3 linked regions of the Callithrix jacchus genome follow. The main gene of each other region encodes a partner of the protein of the gene in region 3 in a complex. Links are inferred from orthologs where the notes say so. Each region holds a gene or a part of one and is shown on either strand. Other genes may lie near its edges.

What was found. The genes of interacting proteins can lie anywhere in the genome.
Region 1: the proteins of SIAH1 (region 3) and USP19 are in contact, whole or in part, in a crystal structure (PDB 4X3G), measured with the Homo sapiens proteins. The link is inferred for Callithrix jacchus from reciprocal best matches to the Homo sapiens genes SIAH1 and USP19. Residues at the interface, in NP_003022.3 of Homo sapiens: Cys130, Pro131, Thr156, Leu158, Gln159, Asp162, Ile163, Val164, Phe165, Leu166, Ala167, Thr168, Leu172, Val176, Asp177, Trp178, Val179, Met180, Asn276; in NP_006668.1 of Homo sapiens: Lys463, Pro464, Thr465, Cys466, Met467, Val468, Pro469, Pro470, Met471.
Region 2: the proteins of SIAH1 (region 3) and CACYBP are in contact, whole or in part, in a crystal structure (PDB 2A25), measured with the Homo sapiens proteins. The link is inferred for Callithrix jacchus from reciprocal best matches to the Homo sapiens genes SIAH1 and CACYBP. Residues at the interface, in NP_003022.3 of Homo sapiens: Leu158, Gln159, Asp162, Ile163, Val164, Phe165, Leu166, Ala167, Thr168, Val176, Asp177, Trp178, Val179, Met180, Asn276; in NP_055227.1 of Homo sapiens: Lys59, Pro60, Ala61, Ala62, Val63, Val64, Ala65, Pro66, Ile67.

Annotation. Positions count from the first base shown.
Region 1 is NC_133516.1:31,729,486-31,732,925, reverse strand, and holds the end of USP19 (ubiquitin carboxyl-terminal hydrolase 19), read left to right. Parts: intron 1-19; coding exon 20-180; intron 181-262; coding exon 263-441; intron 442-1,750; coding exon 1,751-1,978; 3' UTR 1,979-2,409; coding exon of another isoform or gene 2,410-2,526; 3' UTR 2,527-2,890; downstream 2,891-3,440. UniProt on the Homo sapiens protein: Deubiquitinating enzyme that regulates the degradation of various proteins by removing ubiquitin moieties, thereby preventing their proteasomal degradation. Stabilizes RNF123, which promotes CDKN1B degradation and contributes to cell proliferation.
Region 2 is NC_133519.1:28,150,103-28,153,689, forward strand, and holds part of CACYBP (calcyclin-binding protein), read right to left. Parts: intron 1,909-3,587; coding exon 1,689-1,908; intron 1-1,688. UniProt on the Homo sapiens protein: May be involved in calcium-dependent ubiquitination and subsequent proteasomal degradation of target proteins. Probably serves as a molecular bridge in ubiquitin E3 complexes. Participates in the ubiquitin-mediated degradation of beta-catenin (CTNNB1).
Region 3 is NC_133521.1:6,077,559-6,081,719, reverse strand, and holds the start of SIAH1 (E3 ubiquitin-protein ligase SIAH1), read left to right. Parts: upstream 1-1,326; 5' UTR 1,327-1,788; coding exon of another isoform or gene 1,789-1,879; 5' UTR 1,880-1,959; coding exon of another isoform or gene 1,960-1,990; 5' UTR 1,991-2,058; coding exon 2,059-2,239; intron 2,240-4,161. UniProt on the Homo sapiens protein: E3 ubiquitin-protein ligase that mediates ubiquitination and subsequent proteasomal degradation of target proteins.

The sequences.
Region 1 (3,440 bases), on a different chromosome or scaffold from region 3:
GACTGGACCTGACCTGCAGGAATCTGGACCTGAGCAAGTTCTGCATTGGCCAGAAAGAGGAGCAGCTGCCCAACTACGATCTGTATGCTGTCATTAACCACTATGGAGGCATGATCGGTGGCCACTACACTGCCTGTGCACGCCTGCCCAATGATCGTAGCAGTCAGCGCAGTGACGTGGGTGAGGGCACACACAGCCCAGCAGGATAGGTGGTAGGGGTGGTGGTACAGACTTTGTTCACACTCTTCCCACCCTGCTGTAGGCTGGCGCTTGTTTGATGACAGCACGGTGACAACGGTAGACGAGAGCCAGGTCGTGACACGTTATGCCTATGTACTCTTCTATCGCCGGCGGAACTCTCCTGTGGAGAGGCCCCCCAGGGCAGGTCACTCTGAGCACCACCCAGACCTAGGCCCTGCAGCCGAGGCTGCTGCCAGCCAGGTGAGGCATGTGGTAGGCTTTACAGAATAGTGGGGATAGCTCACAGACTGTGGGGCAGGGTTGGGGGATAGAGCTTCCTCTCCTCCAGCCACAGACCCCTTGAGCCTTGGGATTCATGAGAATTGCAAAGTTCCCTTACATCAAAGCCTTATCCAGAAGTATCCCCATACCCTGGGAACACTAACAAATGTACAGGTACACTAATAACATGCTGCCACTGGCAAGCACATTGGCACCCACTTGGCACAGATCAGGCAACTGCTCTGAACCTCACTGGGCACTGTGCTGTGAATGGACTATACCTGACAATTTCCCAGATTTCCCCCTCACATTCCCCACATGATAGCCCACACACCTTCACTTGTGATATCCCTGAGTTCTGGTGTGCACTCAAGACAAGGCCTATCTGGGCTGGCCATGGCCTCTGGTGGCTGTCATACTCTCTGAGGTAAACATAAGCATCTGTCTTTGCTGATCTTCTGTCTCTTTTACTGACATGGTATGCCATAGATCCAGTTGGTGGGCATGGGCACATCTCTTTTCTGGACTGGCTGCCTCCTTTCTGGCCCCATTCTCTTGAGCCCTCTGTCAAGCTTAGAGAAATTTCTGCAGAAGACTGGTCAGGATCTGGGTATGGATGGAAAGGAACAAGGAGATTGCTCTGGGATTGGCAACCCTGTTCTCTATGCATCAGTGTCATCTGGGGAGGCCTGGACTAAAATACTAACCAGATAACTCCCCACCCACCTCCATGTGGAGCTGCATGTGGATTGAGAGCTGTTTAGGGTAGGCAAAAATGCTATCAAGATTCTTTTACCCGGCCGGGGCGCGGTGGCTCAAGCCTGTAATCCCAGCATTTTGGGAGGCCGAGGCGGGTGGATCACGAGGTCAAGAGATCGAGACCATCCTGGTCAACGTGGTGAAACCCCGTCTCTACTAAAAAAATACAAAAAACTCGCTGGGCATGGTGGCGCATGTCTGTGATCTTGGCTGCTCAGGAGGCTGAGGCAGGGGAATTGCCTGAATCCAGGAGGCGGAGGTTGCAGTGAGCCGAGATCCCGCCATTGCACTCCAGCCTGGGTAATAAGAATGAAACTCTGTCTCAAAAAAAAAAAAAGATTCTTTTACCCTTGTGCTCTTAGTCTGGACAACCCTGAGGTTGGCTGCCTGCCTTCTTCCTTGCTGCTTGATCTAGAATGCAGGGTGTTAGCCCCAGTCACCCCAGATGGGACTGTCATGGCTAAGAGTCTCAGGGATACTGGGTCCTCCCCAACCCTGGGGTGCTGATGGCCGTTTCCACATACCCTAGGCTTCCCGGATTTGGCAGGAGCTGGAGGCTGAGGAGGAGCCGGTGCCTGAGGGGCCTGGGCCCATGGGTCCCTGGGGGCCCCAAGACTGGGTGGGCCCCCCACCACGTGGCCCTACCACACCAGATGAGGGCTGCCTCCGGTACTTTGTCCTGGGCACCGTGGCAGCTTTGGTGGCCCTCGTGCTCAACGTGTTCTATCCTCTGGTATCCCAGAGTCGCTGGAGATGAGCTCACCTGCAGGCAGCAGCTGTGAGCTGGCCTACCTGCCTGCCCAGGCCATGCCTGCCTTTGTTGTGGGGAACGTCTCTGGGCTTTGGGCCTCAGCTTGTGTATCTGGTGGGGGAGGGTGGGGAGACTGTGGCCTCTGCAGGGGCAGGGCATCCTAGGGTGGGTATCCATCCAGCTGTCTGTCCATTCATACCATACTGTTGCTCTGACCCTTGGCCTGGGGCTTGGCCCTGCCCAAGCTACTTCCTGTACGTAAAGTGTTAATAAAACCAGACTATTCAGGCCCGATCTCGTCTCTCTGTCTCACGCCGCTGCTGTCTGCGCCTGCCTTGGGACCCTCCCTTGGGTGCCAGGGCTCCAAGCCAGCACCCCCGGGATGCCAGGCGGCATGCTGGGCAGCCCCCAACCCCTGTCCTCATATTCTGTTGCAGGGACTAGGCCCTGGCCAGGCCCCCGAGGTGGCCCCCACGCGGACAGCCCCTGAACGCTTCGCCCCCCCTGTGGATCGGCCAGCCCCTACCTACAGCAACATGGAGGAGGTGGATTAGCAGGTCCCTGGCTGATGGGGGGTCCTGGGTATGGGAGACCCACCACAGAGGGCCAGCTCTTTGCTGCTTCTCCTTCTCTAATCCAGAGGACACTGGCTCTGTCAACGGGAAGCTGTGGGGTATGATTTGGGTGTGGAAACATCTCAGGTTGGGACTTCTTGTCAGCTTGGACGCCTGACCAGTGGGCTTTGGCTTCTCCAGCTGCCTCCAGTGCTGCGTGATTTGATTCTCAGTTGTACCTTCAATTCTTTCTGACCCACATTATAAACATAATTTTATTCTAAAAATTGTAATTTTTTTTTGCATTTTGGAAGTGATTGCTGCTGTTTAAATATATTTTAAAAATAAAAAATTAGTAGACTTAGTGACTGTGATCCACCACGTGCTGGGGCCACCTCCCCTCCCCATCATTTGGTCATGTCTGTGTGTGTGTGTCTGTGTGCATCTGTGTGCGTGCAGGTATGTATAAGAGACCTTGAAAGTGCTCTATTCTGAAGAGAGATGAAGGGGTCCCAGTTCATGTCCTATGGCTCATGAAACCCCCAGTGCTGTCAGCTCTTTGGAACTTACCTGCTGCTCTTTGATTTCACTGGTTCTGGGTCCCACATAGAGGCAGCTGTGGTTGGCATCATCAGGATTTCAATGCCCAAGAGACAGAGGAGTATATGAGGCACTGGAGTTGACAGCATGGAGTCAAAGGTGCATGTACCAGAGCAGCCTCGGGCTGACAACCAGACAATAAGTCAAGGAGGACTTGGTGGGGGACAGAATACTGGGGGTGGGGATCTTCCTCCTTATCAGTTCTCAGCTTTTTCTTTGCTTGAACAACATCTGGATCCCTACAGGTGGGAAACTGCTGTGGGGCAGATCTTGCTGCCCTGAAAAGAGGACAGGCAAAGAGGACCAGAGCTGAT
Region 2 (3,587 bases), on a different chromosome or scaffold from region 3:
ATTATATAAAGCTCAATTAAAAAAAAATCTTTAAGTACTTAATAACTCAATATCAGGGCCAGGCGTGGTGGTTCATGCCTGTAATTCCAGCACTTTGGGAGGCTCAGGCGGGTGGATCACCTGAGGTTGGGAGTTCGAGACCAGCCTAACCAACATGGAGAAACCCAGTCTCTATTAAATATACAAAATTATCCAGGCATGGTGGCACATGGTTGTAATCCCAGCTACTCGGGAGGCTGAGGCAGAAGACTCGCTTGAACCCAGGAGGCAGAGGTTGCAGTGAGCAGAGATCATGCCATTGCACCCTAACCTGGGCAACAAGAGTGAAACTCCGTCTCAAAAAAAAAAACAACAAAACTCAGTATCAGAAGCACGACAGTTTGAAAGTCTTTCTTAATAGTCTTATAAAATGCAGTAACAGAACTACTAATGCTTTTCCTTTACTACAAGTCTTTTATCTCATTTAACTCAGATACCCTAGTTTTGCCTATCTTTAACAGACGACACAGTATAAAAAGTTCAACTCTGGCCGGGTGGAGTGGCTCACACCTGTAATCCCAGCCCTTTGGGAGGTCAAGGCCAGTGGATCCACTGGAGGTCAGGAGTTTGAAACCAGCATACACATGCTTTTCACTATACCAATATTCCATATATATCATGCCTTCCAACTCTTCCTCTGCTCATGCTGCTCCCTTTTCAACTTACTGAATATACAACTCACCCTTCACATTCAAATCTAATTTTCCCCGTTTCTCACCTCCAGAATTATTTCCTGAGCTATATTACCCACTATGTACTAGACACTATGAGCACAAAGAAAAAAAAGACTGTCCTTGCTCTCATGAGAGCTGATCACTCATATTCAAGTTGTACTGCCGCCAAAACAAAAAGCTGAATACACCACTGAAGGAAAGTGTTACTACATTGTTATAGTGTGAGTTATATGTCTGTGTCCCAACCACACCATGAGCAAGGACTGGGTCTTAGTCACTCTTGTGTATCCTTAAGTCCAAGCACAATAGTGATACACAGTAAGTGCTCAAAAACATTTATTGAATTTAACTGGATTCCTCTCCTCAGTTAATTGAGGTGGCTGTCAGAGTGCAACGTAAAACATTAAAAACCACCACCACTGCAGTGCCTCATATATACTGAACAATTTCAGAGTAAGTTGCTTCGTTGTTGCTATTCATCTTTGCACTGAATCACCTTATTGTTAACATCTTTTGTAAATTATCCCTTCCTATTTATTAAATAAAAACTGATGGGTCTTCCTCCAAGCCACCAAAAACGCACACAGAAAGCTCTTTTAAAGATAAATTTGGCCGGGCACGGTGTCTCACGCCTGTAATCCCAGCACTCTGGGAGGCCAAGGCGGGTGGATCACGAGGTCAAGAGATCGAGACCATCCTGGTCAACAAGGTGAAACCCCATCTCTACAAAAAATTAGCTGGGCATGGTGGCACGTGCCTGTAATCCCAGCTACTCAGGAGGCTGAGGCAGGAGAATTGCCTGAACCCAAGAGGCAGAGGTTGCAGTGAGCTGAGATCGCGCCATTGCACTCCAGCTGGGTAACGAGCGAAACGCCGTCTCAAAATAAATAAATAAATAAATAAAAATTTGTTACTAGATCACTATGAGGAATAGGTTGATCGGAGGCAGAACTGGTCTAGGGAAGCAAATCATACCATAATTACTGATTTTCACTGTATAGCCTGTTGTAATGGGAGCAACCACAGCAGCTGGCTTTTCATTTTCAAGAAGCTCTGCTTTCTTCTGTGATTTCTGTTGCATCTTGTTCTTGATTTCTGTCTCAATCTTGGATTTTTCAGCTGTAAGGGCATCTCGTATTCTTTTCCTAGTAGTCTTTTCCAGCAACACCTTTACCTCTTCTAGATCTTTCTGTAGCTGTGTTAAGACAAAAAATAAGTTAGCTATGATAAATAAGGCTATGGTTTTCTATTGTGCTTATCACTCATTTCAACTTACTGAAATAAGCACTAAGAATTAAGAGGTTCATCTAAATTTTCTAGGATTGAGTTGCAACTTCAATTCTTTCCTCTGGCTTATTAACTATAATTAACTCAAGCTTCCTTTTTTTTTAAAGGAAAACTTTGAACAATCTTGAACAAACAATAGGTAATCAAACCTAGTTTCCAGTTTGTATTTAAAATATTTACAAGACACATCTGCAACTTAGAAATTTTTTTTAACAAGGTGTTCATAGATTTCCTTGTAACATCTAATCCTAGTATCATTAGATGTTAAGACACTTTAAAAATATTTAAGAGATGAGAGAACATGCAGTGTAATACAGCATGGTAATATAGCAACTTTACTGAGGTAATGAATACTCTACTTTCTGTCACTGACTGGTCTTCATTATCTTCCCACCTCAAATACCTCACATAAAAAAAGTCTAAAGTTTTCAGACTAAAGATTTTTAAAAACAAATTTCTGCTTTTAAGGAAAAGTCTTGTTCTGAAGCTGGGTCTTACAGTCAGAAGTGTAGGAGTTGGGTGCACAGGTGACAAAAAACCCAAAATGCAACCTACTCTTGGAAATTATCTTTTGAAAAAGCCACCAAGTTCTTGTTTTCTTTTTATGCCAATCCATCATCTACTAAAGTCTACTACTTTTTACTTTCTAGAGATAGAGGCAACATTTTATGAAATTCAAGAGTTAAAGACAATGTTAGAAAATTATTGAGCCTAAGTTTTTTTCCCTAATTACCCTCTGACATACTGCAAATGCACAAGATCTTTCCAAACAGGTGATTCGCTTTTCTTACAATGACTTTTACATTCTGGCTGGATACTACCAACTTGACCAAAAAATCTTCTGTCACAGCTTGATTATGTCAGAAGCTCAATTTAAAAAAATCTTTAAGTGTTTGATAACTCAGAATAGCCAGGTGCAGTGGCTCACACCTATAATCCCAGCACTTTGGGAGGCCGAGGCGGGTGGATCATGAGGTCAAGAGATCAAGACCATCCTGGTTATTAGCAAGGTGAAACCCCATCTCTACTAAAAATACAAAAATTAGCTGGGCGTGGTGGTGCGTGCCTGTAGTTCCCAGTTACTCAGGAGGCTGAGGCAGGAGAATTGCCTGAACCCAGGAGGCGGAGGTTGCGGTGAGCTGAGATCGTGCCATTGCACTCCAGTCTGGGTAACAACAGCGAAACTCCGTCTCAAAAAAAATAAAATAAATAACTCGGAATATCAGAAACACAACAGTTTGAAAGCCTTTCTTAGTCATAAAATGCAGTAACAGAACTACCCATTCTTTTCTTTTACTACAAGTCTTTTATTTAATTCAGAGGCCCTAGTTTTGCCTAACTATAACAGATGACATAGTATAAAAAGTTCAACTCTAGCTAGGTGCAGTGGCTCCAGCACTTTGGGAGGTTGAGGCCGGTGGATCGCTGGAGGTCAGGAGTTCGAGACCAGCCTGACCAACATGGCAAAACCCTGTCTCTACTAAAAATACAAAAATTAACCAGCGTGGTGGCACATGACTGTAATCCCAGCTACTCAGGAAGCCAAAGCAGGAGAATCACTTGAACCCGGGTGGCAGAGGTTGCAGT
Region 3 (4,161 bases):
CTTAAGATCTGTTGAATGAATAAATGTTAGAAAATAAAAATACAGACTGGGCATAGTGGCTCACGCCTGTAGGCCAGCACTTTGGAAGGCATGACAGGTGGATAGTGTCAGGCCAGGAGTTTGAGACCAGCCTGGGCAACATGGGGAATCCCTGTCTTTACCAAAAATATAAAGAAAATTAGCCGAAGACGGTGGTGCCTAGTGATTGGGGAGATTCAGGTGGGAGGGGATTGCTTGAGCCCAAAAGACCGAGGCTGCAGTGAGTGGAGATTGTGCCACTGCACTCAGACCTGGGCAAGAGTGAGACCCTGTCTCAAAAACAACAACAACAAAACAAAAAACTTGTCTGTGGGGTAGACTGTATTTATTTTCAATCATATTTCTTTTCCTAATACTCTTTTGTGTAGCCTATATTGTAAAATGAGGTTGAGGTGATTGAACACACTGTTAATAGAGTGAGGAAGTGGTTAGAGTTAAAATTTCTTGCTGAAAGTGGGTAATCTGCAATTCCCTACATTGGGTTGATTCCTCTCTGCCAGCTCTTGCTGCATTTAGAGGCTGCCCTAAGCATGATGTAATGACAGGTTAAACCTCTGCACGCACTAGCTGATGCAATGCAAATCTGAGGCCCAGGACTTTATTGGGGCAAGGGTAATGCTTGTTTAAAAACAAAACAAGCTACTCTGCGTTTAATGAGGCCATTTAAGATGGCTTTCCCAGAGTGGGAAGAGAGTATACTCTCTTAGGAGGTTTAAGTAGGAGTTTAATGTGGCAGAAGTATGCTTACTACTTTTCCTGCAAAGTGTTTTCGCAGCGGGGAAGGGGAATTTAAAATACATTACCGATAGGAGAAGTGAAGTGAGCTAGAATTGAGGAAATTAGTAGTTGATGCCAGTAAATAGCTGTTGAATGAATTAGGGAGAATGTTTTCACTCCAAAATTTTAGAGTTCGGATAAACGTAGAGCGGAGCGCCAGTGTGGCCACGCATTTCAAGATACGCTGTAGCTCTTAGATTGAAACCGTAAGAAACTCCTGATATGAGACTGTTCTGACACACCGAAAACGGCATGGTTCCACCTAACTTTAAACTGGTGGAAATGCTGAGGAAGGCTCGATGTCGCTGGGGTGCGGTGGTATGCGGTCCATGGCGGGGTGGGGTCCATGGCGGGGTGGCACGGGGTCAGAGCTGCGGGGTCCCGCGGCCCCGCCCTGGGTTGTGGGGCGGGGCTTGCGGGCACGGCCCCACCTCTGCGCGAGCGAGACGGGCACCGCCCTGCACGCTGCGCGCCCTGGACTGGCCCTTGGCTCTCCTGGTTGGAGCGGGCGTTCCCGGCGCAGGCCCATCCCCAGCTGGCCGAGGCTCCAAATGGCTCTCCCGGCAGGCGGGCTCCTGCAGTAGCCCCTGAGCTGGCTCAGGGAGCGTACTTCCTTCTCAGCCAGCGGGTCACCCCTCCACCAGAGCCGAGCAGGAGCCTACCCAGTGAATCTGGAGAAGACAAACTTGGGAGACAGACGAAGGCTTAGGGCATGGTGGAGGACAGCGCAGCTGTGGCTCCCATTTTCGGAGATGCAGCCGAATTTGAGCTCACGGGGAGGTGTGGTTGCCTCCTGGGGATGGAAAGGCTTTCTTTCTCCACCTCTGTAACTGGTGCTTCTGAGAAGTGAAACGATATTTGGATCCTGACCTCAGACGCCAATTTGGGTCTTTTGTGTTTAGGAGCAGAAAGTGCCCAGGAGGGTCCTGTACCTTTACTTCTTGGAAAAGGCAGTGAGCTGCCTGAGTTCTCATGACGGGAAAGCCTATTCCACCTTCTCTTTACTCCTGGAGGGGAGTCTTGTTCACATGTTTACCGGCGACTAGGACAAGGAAGAGAAAAGGTATTGACATTAACAGGATGGGTTGCTGAGGCTGTGAAACTTGAACGCTGTTAGTCAGTGGAACCTGCCTGGCTTACGGAATGGCTGCAGCAGAATCGAGCTGTTTCCTAGGTTAGCAGTCATGTTTCATTTGGGCTGTTGTGCTTTTTTTCTGTTTAAATCAAACTTCAGGTTACGTCATGACTTCTGCAGGGCTGTCCTTGGTTCCTACTGCAGGGCGGCTGTGTGGTTGGGATTCCTTTTCTGTTTCAAGATGGAGCTGGGTAGCACCTTTGGAGCTTGGAGAGGCTTTAGCAGTTGCTGTCCTGTATACCTCCATTTACAAGAAATCCTGTTCCCATTTCGGTTTTCACACTTTGAGTAAGAGTTAAAATCTGCTTTATTACAGTGTTTGGAAAATGATAAAGATATATTGTAATGTGAGCCTGAACTGTTGATGATAAATGTATAACTACTGCTAGGTCAAGAAATTGAAAAATAATGTTTTGATTGGTCTGTAGCTGTGTTGTGTTAAATATAAACTGAGTTTACTGCCCTTGGATGTGATTCTCTGGTTTGGTTTGGTAATTTGAAAGGTATTGGTTGCCTAGACTGTTTTGTGCCCAAGGAAACACTTTCTAATTGTTATGCTGTTAATTCAGTAAGCAGCATAAACTGGACCATGCAGTAGGCATACAGCATACAGCCAGGATGTTTTGGCAATGCTGAGCCCACTGTTTTACAAGTGACATAAAATGTATGGATCATCGTATGTACAAAGAATCCACTCAGGGAAACCGGATTACAGGAGAGTTCCTTTACAGTCCTTTTGTCAGGGTACAGAACACCTGGGTTACACAGGGCTTCAGATGAGAGTTGATTCATGATCTGAGTCTATATGATGAGACACATTATGATGGAATTGTCACTTTTGTTGCCTCTTGAACTTTAAAATATATCTTTAGTGATGTGGAATTAATCTTTATTTTTCCTTCACCCTCAGCCTTCATTTAAGGTATCAGTTGGTAACCACCTGAGTAATCTAGAACCCAAGTTGCATTTACTTGGTCATATTGGTAACTAACATTGTTTCTCAAAAGTTTCTTGCAACAGAATAATGACTATAATTGAGATAAAACATTAACTTTAAGGCTTTAACTTTGTAAGAATATGGCTTAGTATAGTTACTAGGAGTGTATTCTTAGGACATCGACCGATCTATTTTTTCACCCCCAAGACAAATAGTGGCCTCCTATATCCCAGCCCAGGGAGCTCTTTGGGATGAGTTACTTGTTTTATCTTTGACTCAGCCTGACTAGTTACATTGTCGATCATTTCTTCCAGATGACATTTATCTGTCAAATAATGTTGATTAGTCTGCTGATGAATGTTTAAACAACGCTGGAGAACCCTAGGCTAAGGGGTTCTACACCTGTTGACTCCATCCCCCACTCCCAGTGTGGTGTGTCTCTGCCGTGCTATCTGTATTCTTCCCCTGTTCAGTTTCTCCCTGACTCTCCTTCTTTGTTCATTATGTCTGATTTATATTGTGGATTGCAAATAGAGAAAGATATGCTTTCTCTACGACACCAAAAAGTTTTATTTGAGATGGCTCTCCATTTCTCCCACGTCTCCCTTCACTTTTGCTGTGTTTTTATTTATTTTTATATTTTTGCTACCTTCACTAGAGAGTACATCCCCTCACTCTTGAGGTGGGCACTGATCAGTAGGAAAGAAGATCAATACCTGGCTGATGATAATTTGGGGGGCAGATTGATAGATAAAGGGGATGGCAGCAGATCTTTCCCCTTGTGATCCCTCCCCTCATTCCTAAATTACACCTCTAGAGTAGGTAACTGCTCACCATTAAGAAGAGTTAATGGAAGGCATTTGAACTACACTCATCCCGTGGTATCCTCGGAAGATTAGTTCCAGGATCCCCTTCCCCATACCAAAACCTGAGGATGTTCAAGTCTCTGATAGAACATGTTATCATATTTGTATATAACCTGTGCATATTCTCCTGTATAATTTATCTCTGGATTACTTACACTTAATACAATGTAAATAATAGGTAAATAGTTGTTATATATGTTTTATTTTAAAAATTTTGTATTATTTTAAAATTTTTCTGAATATTTTCAATCCATGGCTGGTAAATAGTTATATATGTTTTATTTTAAAAATTTTGTATTATTTTAAAATTTTTCTGAATGTTTTCAATCCATGGCTGGTGAAGTCCTCAGATGCAGATTCTGTGGTTACAGAGTGCCGATTTTACACAGGATCTTACCTGTAACTCC